2 linked regions of the Coturnix japonica genome follow. The protein of the gene in region 1 interacts with the protein of each later gene in a pairwise test. Links are inferred from orthologs where the notes say so. Each region holds a gene or a part of one and is shown on either strand. Other genes may lie near its edges.

Region 1 (4,126 bases):
CAACCCCTGACTCAGTGTTTATGCCTTACATCGAGTTGAAGGCACCAGGCGTGTAATAATCACAGACTGACCCGGGTTGGAAGGGACCTCAAGGATCATGTAGTTCACCCCCCTGCCTAGCAGGGCCACCAAACACTACACATTTACTAGTATCAGGTTGCCAAGAGACCCCATAGGACCCATAGGACCCCATAGACCCCATAGAGACCCCATAGATCAGGTTGCCCATGGCCCCATCCAACCTGGCCTTGAAACACCTCCAAGGACGGGGCATCCACAACCTCCCTGGGCAGCCTGTTTCCAGGGCCTAACCACTCTCCTAGTGAATAACACAGTGCTGTGTCCTCAGCTACGTGTATTAACACTAAAGCAGCAGCTATTTCCACACCGAACCATTGGGGATGCTCCTATGGGACAGCCCCATGTGCTATGGGCCCAAACCCACTGCCTGCCCCTCACCCAACCCCCGAGGGTGATCCCAGCGCAGAGAACACCACCCAGCTCCCCCCATAGCCCCTAGTAGCCCCCCCATACATCCCAATAGCCTCCCATAGCCCCCAACAGCCTCCCATAGCCACCAGCAGCCCCCATAGCCCCCAGTAGCCTCCCATGGCCCCCCAGTAGCCTCCCATGGCCCCCAGTAGCCTCCATGGCCCCCAAATACATCCCAATAGCCTCCCATAGCCCCAATAGCCCTCCATAGCCTCCCATGCCCCCAATAGCCCCCAATAGCCCCCAATAGCCTCCAATAGCCCCCAATAGGCCCCAATAGCCTCCAATAGGCCCCAATAGCCTCCAGCAGCCCTCCACACACCCCAATAGCCTCCCATAGCCCCCAATAGCCTCCCATGGCCCCCCACAGCCCCCCATACACCCCAATAGCCCCCATAGACCCCAATAGCCCCCAAAGACCCCAATAGCCCCCAATAGACCCCAATAGCCTCCAACAGCCCCCCATGGCCCTATAGACCCCCCACGGCCCCCAATGGCCCCATAGCCCCCACTCACCAGCTTCATGCTGCCCGGCTCTATTTACAGGCACAATCCTGCCCCCCCACTTCCGGCTCGCTCCCCCTTCCCGCCGCAAAGCATCACGGGATTTGTAGTCCCCCCGTGATGACGTCATGCCGCCCCCCTCCATATCACCTTGCCGTCCCGTTGCATGCTGGGAGCCGTAGTCCGCGCTCCGCTTCGCCCCGCGCTCCCGTGGTGGCGCCGCGCCGCACGGCACGCTGGGAATTGTAGTCCGTGAGCCGCGGCGCTCCCCGTCACCCTGGGGAGGGGGGAACTACAAGTCCCAGGGTCTCACAGCTGCAGCAGGTGGGAGCTCGGATGTTGATATCAACATGGCGCTTGTCAGACAGACAAAGACAGTCGGTCTGGTGTGAGCGAGCCGGGAGGGGGGGGGGGGAGAAATAAAAACCACCACCACAAAAAAATAAAGCCCAACAGAGAGAAAAGGAGCCGAGGGGGCAGAGAGGGGAGGGGGGGGCTGTTATCCTCGGGGGGCTCCGGCAGCACAGCGCTATTGTTGTCCACGTTCATCTCCCCTCATTGCAGGGGGGGGGTCCCCGGCGGGGGCGGCCCGTTCAATGGTGAAGCGGAGGAACCGCCGGCACCGGGAGTGAGTGAGTGGGGGTGAGGGGGGGAACGGGGGCGGGCGGGTGGGTGGGCTGCCAGGAGGGAGGGTGGGAGGGAGGGTGGGTGGGAGGGGGAAGGGCCCCCCCGGCTGTGTCTGAGCCTGGGAGGGATTCGAGGCGTGAGGAGATCCGAGGGTGCGTGAGGAGGGGGACGGAAGGGTGCCCCCGGATAACAGGGAGATCGCTCTGCTGCTGCTGCTGCTGCTGCTTCGGCTTTTTATTCTGTTTTGTGTTTTCACCCCTTCATCCCCCCTCTTCACCCCCCCATCCACTCCCGGGTGTGGGGAGGACGAAGTCGCGGCGGCGGAGTCCCCTCAGGTTGGGTGGGTGCTGGTTCTTTCGTTTATTTCTTTATTCTTCTTTATTTTTCCGCTTGTTTCGGTGCTGGGACCGCGAACCCCGAGCGGAGCTGGGGGGGGCCCCCCTCCCTCATCCCTCTTTCCCCCTTCCCTCCCCATACCCCCCCCATATCTCTCAGCCCTTTATCCCCCTCTTTTCTCCTCATTCCTTTCCGGGATCCGACCCTTGAGGGAGCGATCACTCATTCCGGGGTGAACCCAACTGTTTTCCTACGGTTATGTGGGGGGGAAAAGGGCATTCCGCCTCCCCCCCCCGAGCTGTGCCGCTGCCGGGGCTTTGCGGGAGGGCGAAGGCGTCGAACCGAAGGGATTCGTTTGTGCGGGATGGGGTGAAGGAGCCGGCGACAAATCGGTCCTAAAACGTGTGAGGAGGGTTTGGGCGGGGTGTCAGCCGCTTGTTTATTCCCTACTTCACGGGGAGAGAAGCTGCGACGCTTCTCTGTCTGTGCCCGGGTTCGTTCGGGGGACCCTCATGCCCCCTTGAGAGCCCGGCATGGCAGGGGATGCTGCCCACCCACCCTGCCCCGCTTCTGGGCTGACCCTACCCGAGTTCGGTGCTGTTTATCAGCTCAGATCGCACATATGAAGCAGGTTGGGCTGAGTTCTTCCACCTCTGGTGGGTTTTTCAGTTGTTTTGCGAAGTACTTCTTTGGAATGTCGTGTTTTTTGTTGTGGTTTTTATTTTACCCTTTTCGGTGGGTCTGAAAAAAGCTGTGGGTGTTCGGTGATGTGCAGGGGTCAAAATGCTTCTTTGGGGGGGGTGGGGAGGGAAGAAGGAAGAGGAAAATCAAGGCTGTAAGCAGACAGCGGAGTGGGGTGTAGCTTAATTTGTTCTCATTGGGACTAGAGATAAGTGGCTTTAAGTACAGCACAGCACGTGAGCTGGAGCTGGGAAGGTTGAAACTTTGTAGGGAGGAAAGTGTTAACGTGACAGCCAGGGCTTGGCGGTGTGGGAGCGGATCTGCTGGATGCCCCTGATCCAACTATATAGGGATGGAGGGGAAGGAAACTGGGGGGGAAAACTACAATTTGCCTGTAAGACAGCACGTAAATACAGGGAAGGGGAAACTGGTGGGGAAAGGCTTGGTGCTGTAGTGCCTGCTTGCATCCCAGCTCATTGCTGCAGGGTTCATCAGGTACATTGCTTTCTTCCTGGGATGGTGTGGCTGCTATTTGATTTCTTCCCTGGATGGGAGAGGAGGAGTCCTGTGCAGTTCTTTTCCCCGAGCTGATTGCATTTGCTTTGGCCTTGCTGTACCCTACCTCATTAGTAGGAACTGCATCTATATTTATTTACCATTACATCGGGTCCCTCGGGATGCTGGGTGTAGTTTGGAGTAGGTATATATGGATTTATCGCTCTCAATATGTTTTTTTCCTCTTGTCATGCTACGGCCAAATCGTTTGAGAACAGGGAACGAACTTCATTTCTTTCTGTGTTTCGCATCAACCTTTTTGCCATTTCTCTTCCGAATCGTTAAGAAAACATTTCTGAGGCACAGGTGGGGGAGGAGAGATGGGAGATAGCAGTGCAGGGATGTGTTTGTTAGCTGCCTATTCTGAGACCTCTGAGTGGTGCTTGATGCTATATCAGCTAACGGGGGTTTGGGATTGTTTTTTCCCACCTATGTGAAGATTATTCCTTAGCCCCATGACCGCCACAACTTTTCTGTATGGTTGATGGGATTGTCTGACGAGCCTGGGCGTGAGATGAGGAACAAGGGAGGAACGGAGGAGGAACAAGGAACTTGTGTCTCGTTCAGCTCTGCCTCGTTCTTCCTCCTATCGTTCCTTCAGCACAGCGCAGGCACCCGAACAGCCATCAGCATTTTTACTCCTGTGTCATCCAACTCTGTTCAGAGCAGGTCTAGACGACATTGTGCTATGCAGACTGCCAGCTGTGTTACAGGAATGCTACCAGAGGTGAAACGGCAGGTTATTTAAAGAATGGTAAGGAAACCTTCAAGGAAATACTGCGTGGATGAGGCCTGCTTATCTCTAGAACTACTTTATTAAGCGGTCTTGAGCAATTCTTTTCTATTTTATTGACCTTTCTAGAAAACACGCATCCCTCCAGTGCTGCGATACGGTAATTCAACAGAACTAGGAGCAGTGTCTGCTGCACAA
Region 2 (3,986 bases), on another chromosome or scaffold:
GGCCGTTTCGATTTATTTTGTTGCAGCAATTTTAAAACATCGTTTGGAGGTCGGCGATGGAAGCAGCGCTAACCTTTAATGCCGCGGGGAACGTGAACGCCGCAGCGCGAGTTGCCACCGGAGGACATCGGGGCCCACCCTTCCAGCGGCAGGTAACCGCTTTTATCACTACAGCTTCGGGGGAGCGACTTCTGACCGGGGCGCGGGGGTGCGAGTGTTGCCGGCCGAGCTCGGGGCGCAACGGGAGCGCACCCACAAGCGGCCCGGCGGAGCTGTCATACGCGTGCCCCAGGGGCTCAGCCTTCCCCCCGCCGGGTCGATAGCGATGAGTACTTCGGGAGGAGGGGGGCAGGATCCCGCTCTTGGTACGCGTCTACGGGGGGAGGCGGCGGGCTCGTATCTGCGCCGGATGCCGTGGTGCGCCTGGCCGCGGCAGGCACGGCCGAGTCCCGGGGGCCTCGCCGTCCGCCCTGCCGGTAGGGGCGGGGAAAAGGTCGCGGCCCCCTGGCTGCCGGGGCTAGCCCCCAACCCGCCGAGCTGACCGGGAGGGCTGTCCGAGATAACGCGTGAAGTGCCGCCGGGTTCGTGCTGCGGAGCCGCCGTCCGGGCTGGGTAGGGAAGGGAGAGTGCGGGTCCTCCCCGGAGCTGCGCCGGGTGAGTCCCCGATGCGGGCGCTCGTTGTGCTGCGGTCCTTCCGCGGCAGCCCAGCCACCTCCTCCCCTCTAGGCACGGGCGGCTCGGGGGACGCGGACGTCTCCCGCACGGGGAGAGCACCTGGAAGGACACATTTTTCCCTCGCCGGGTCGGCTCGCCTGCAGGGGTGGCGGCTTCTCCGCTCGGTGCCCGGGGTCCCGCGGGACGTGCGCGGGGCTGCGGGAAGCGGTGCGGCACGTACTTACGGGGCCGCCCGCATCCCTCTGGCGGTCTCGCCAGGTCTCTCAAAAGCGAAGGGATGTTAGGGTGAGATTTAGTGGCGCTTGCACCGGAGGAAGGGTGGGAGGGATGCGTAAGGGAGATATATTCTCCCACAGTAACCTCTCCCCCTCCGTCCTCGCGTCCCCACCCCCCGACCCCCCGCGCTCCCCACCCCCGGCTGGCCCGGGTCGGTTCAGCAGAGCGGGCTGTGGGCAGCCCCTTGACGAAGGTTGTGTGAATGGAGGATCTTCGCGGCTGACTCCTCCTCCCCTGCGAGCGCCTCTATTTGAGCTTTGCAAAGTTGAGGGCGAGCAGGCAGCCGAGGTGCGGCGTGCGAGGCGGCTGTGCCATCCCCCCCCCCACGGCACGCGCGGACAGACACACAGACACGGCCGCGGCCGCACGGACACGCGCGCACCCCGCCCTGCGCTACGAGCGGGCGCGGCCCCGGAGGCGATCCTGGAGAACAACCTTTCCCTGTCGCTGCTGCCCGCTCCCGCAGGGCTGGACCCGGGGAGCTGCGTCGCGGAGCAAACCTCCCCCAAGGGGCTGAGCTCTCCGGCCTGGTGCCTGCAGCCGGAGCCGGCCTCCGGCCTGGCGGGCAGAGGCCAGGTGTCCTGGAATAAGTGCGGCCCGGGGGGAGACTGGCTGCCCGGCGGCAGGCAGAAGGTCTGCGAGCAGATGGGGTCCGACGTCCGGGACCTGAACGCGCTGCTGCCCTCCGTGCCCTCCCTACCGGGCAACAGCAACTGCGCCATGCCGGTGAGCAGCGCGGCGCAGTGGGCTCCCGTCCTGGACTTCCCCCCGGGGGCCTCCTACGGCTCGCTGGGGCCGCACTCCTTCATCAAGCAGGAACCCAGCTGGAACGGGTCGGACCCGCACGAGGAGCAGTACCTGAGCGCTTTCACCGTCCACTTCTCCGGGCAGTTCACGGGCACGGCCGGGGCCTGCCGCTACGGGCCCTTCGGCGCCCCGCCGCCCAGCCAGCCGCCCTCCGGCCAGGCCAGGATGTTCCCCAACGGGCCCTACCTGCCTAACTGCCTGGAGAGCCAGCAAGCCATTCGCAACCAGGGTAAGGGCGGCGCCGAGCACCCGGCCTCGGGCTCAGCCCCGCGGGCACAGCCGTGGGCTCTCCGACCCGCGTTTGCCGAACGTACGGAGCCCCTGCCGCGCCCCTCCGGGCAGCTCCGGGAGCCGCTCTCGGCTCTCCCAAGGGCGCAGCGGGCTACCCCGGCCTCGGCCCTGGCTACGGCAGCCTCCTCTCTTCTCGGGACTGTATTCGGGCTGAGGACGGTCCCGACGTGGAGATGGGGTGGCTGCCCTCAGACCATTCCCTCTGCAAGCCGTGCAGTGTAGGGGCGGGGGTAGAGTTGTTTACCTCCTCCTGAATATGCGGGCTGCTGTCCGCCCGGTGCTGTTCTCCGGGCGTTTGTCGGACCTACCTCGGGAGCGCTGGCTCCTCGGGCCGGGCCGCACGCACCGGGCGGCTTCTGGTTCCCTCTCGGCGGCTCCGCGGCAGGGACACGGCGGGCTGCAAGCGTCGTGGCCCCGCTGTTCGCGCTGCCCCCAGAAATTGGCGTGGGTGCGCGGTTAACGATCGGTCAGCCCCCGCCTACGGAACGGGGTTATCGCTTAATGGTTTTTCTTCCAGCGGCGGCAATGTAAACATCTGCTGGAGCTAACGCGAACAAGAAGGGAGAGAGAGCGGAGCTCTCGCTGGGGATCCCCGGGCTGCGCCTCCCGCCGCGTTCCGTCCCCGCTCTGCCCGGCCCGGGGGAAGGTGCCCACGCACGGCGAGGCGGCTGGAGGAGCGGGCCCGGAGCAGCGCTGTCGCAGCCGACCGGAGGGTCTCGGGGCAGGCTCTGCGCTGCCGGCGGGTGTTCCGCTCTTCCGCGGCCCAGCAGCCAGCCTCGGGCCGTAGATTGGGTGCTGCGGGTGGCCGGCCTCCAGCTCCCGGCTGTTGCGGGGTGCCTTTGCTCCCAGGCGGGCCGGGGTAAAGGAGAGGGGGCCCGGACCAGGCGTTTGCCGGTCTGCCGATATCGAAAAACTGGGAGCGGAGCGCAGGGCCCAGCTCGGTTGGGGAAGTTACGCGGCATCCCCAGAGGCGGCCGTCGCAGCACGGGGCCGCTGGTGTTGTTCGGACACCTGAAAGCATTTCAGATATCTGAGACGGTTTTAATGGCCGAGCAGAAGTAGTGACGAGAAGGACAAGGTGGTTAAGTGGGTGCCCTCTGATTTCTAAGCCCCCAAAGCGAAAGGGAGCCTTTAACGCTCAGAAACACAGCACCCGTCTTGGCTGCGGCCTTAAGCCGGGCAGGGTTCCGTGCGGGCGGCTCCGCAGCTCGCGGGCACACCGCTGTACCCCGAGACGGCGGCAGCTCCCGCACTTGGCAGCGAGTCGTGCAGGTGTGTGCGTGGCCGTGCCCTGCTGCGGGGGGCAGAGCTCGGGCAGCACGGCTGCGGCGCAGCCCCTCCCTCCCTCCCGCTCCGGCCCGTCCGGGTAGCGTTCCTTCCTTCGCCGAGGAGGAATTCGGCAAAGGGTGCTCGCTTTTCTATTGATTGATTTATTTATTCTCGGCAGCGGATAAAAAGTTCTTGTTTTCGCTCTCCTCAAGGTTGAACTCCCGGGCTTATAGCCTGTTCTTCCGACCGTGGGAAAGACGTTACCTTGGCTCTGCGATGACACTTCAGCCAAGTCTAGGCTGGGGCGTGGGGGTAGGGAGCGAGGCTTTGGAAGCTCTGCCCAGCTTTCCCCTTCTGGTCCGCCCGTCTCCTTCATCCAAGCTGGGCTCCTCCACAACTGGAGTCCTCCCGCGGGCCCCGTGCTGCAGCAGCTGTATAGCTTTCAATTATTTTCAGCACATTTTAATCAGGCCCGACTCTGATAAAGCCCTAATTAAAGAGACCTCGCTATCGGCAGCTCGGTTCAGAACTCGGCTTTCTTATCACATTCCTGAAGCTTTGGGTCAGGCAACACCGGAAAATGCGGCCAAAACATCGTTCTGCACCGAGCTGCGTTGTGAAGGTCGCCAAAAATCTGCGCCGGGCCAAATGTACCGTAGAAAGTGTCA

What was found. The genes of interacting proteins can lie anywhere in the genome.
Region 2: the proteins of HMBOX1 (region 1) and WT1 interact in binary tests that used the Homo sapiens proteins (3 or more experiments, as listed by UniProt). The link is inferred for Coturnix japonica from reciprocal best matches to the Homo sapiens genes HMBOX1 and WT1.

What each region holds. Positions count from the first base shown.
Region 1 is NC_029518.1:96,819,239-96,823,364, forward strand, and holds the start of HMBOX1 (homeobox-containing protein 1), read left to right. Parts: upstream 1-1,326; 5' UTR 1,327-1,628; intron 1,629-1,755; exon of another isoform or gene 1,756-1,775; intron 1,776-1,795; exon of another isoform or gene 1,796-1,963; intron 1,964-3,317; exon of another isoform or gene 3,318-3,949; intron 3,950-4,126. Other genes in the region: INTS9 (integrator complex subunit 9), read right to left, coding at 1,009-1,017. UniProt on the Homo sapiens protein: Binds directly to 5'-TTAGGG-3' repeats in telomeric DNA. Associates with the telomerase complex at sites of active telomere processing and positively regulates telomere elongation.
Region 2 is NC_029520.1:4,411,105-4,415,090, forward strand, and holds the start of WT1 (Wilms tumor protein), read left to right. Parts: upstream 1-1,186; 5' UTR 1,187-1,212; coding exon of another isoform or gene 1,213-1,266; 5' UTR 1,267-1,596; coding exon 1,597-1,987; intron 1,988-3,986. Other genes in the region: uncharacterized protein LOC107314335, read right to left, coding at 32-373, 530-774, 900-1,134, 1,213-1,266. UniProt on the Homo sapiens protein: Transcription factor that plays an important role in cellular development and cell survival. Recognizes and binds to the DNA sequence 5'-GCG(T/G)GGGCG-3'. Regulates the expression of numerous target genes, including EPO.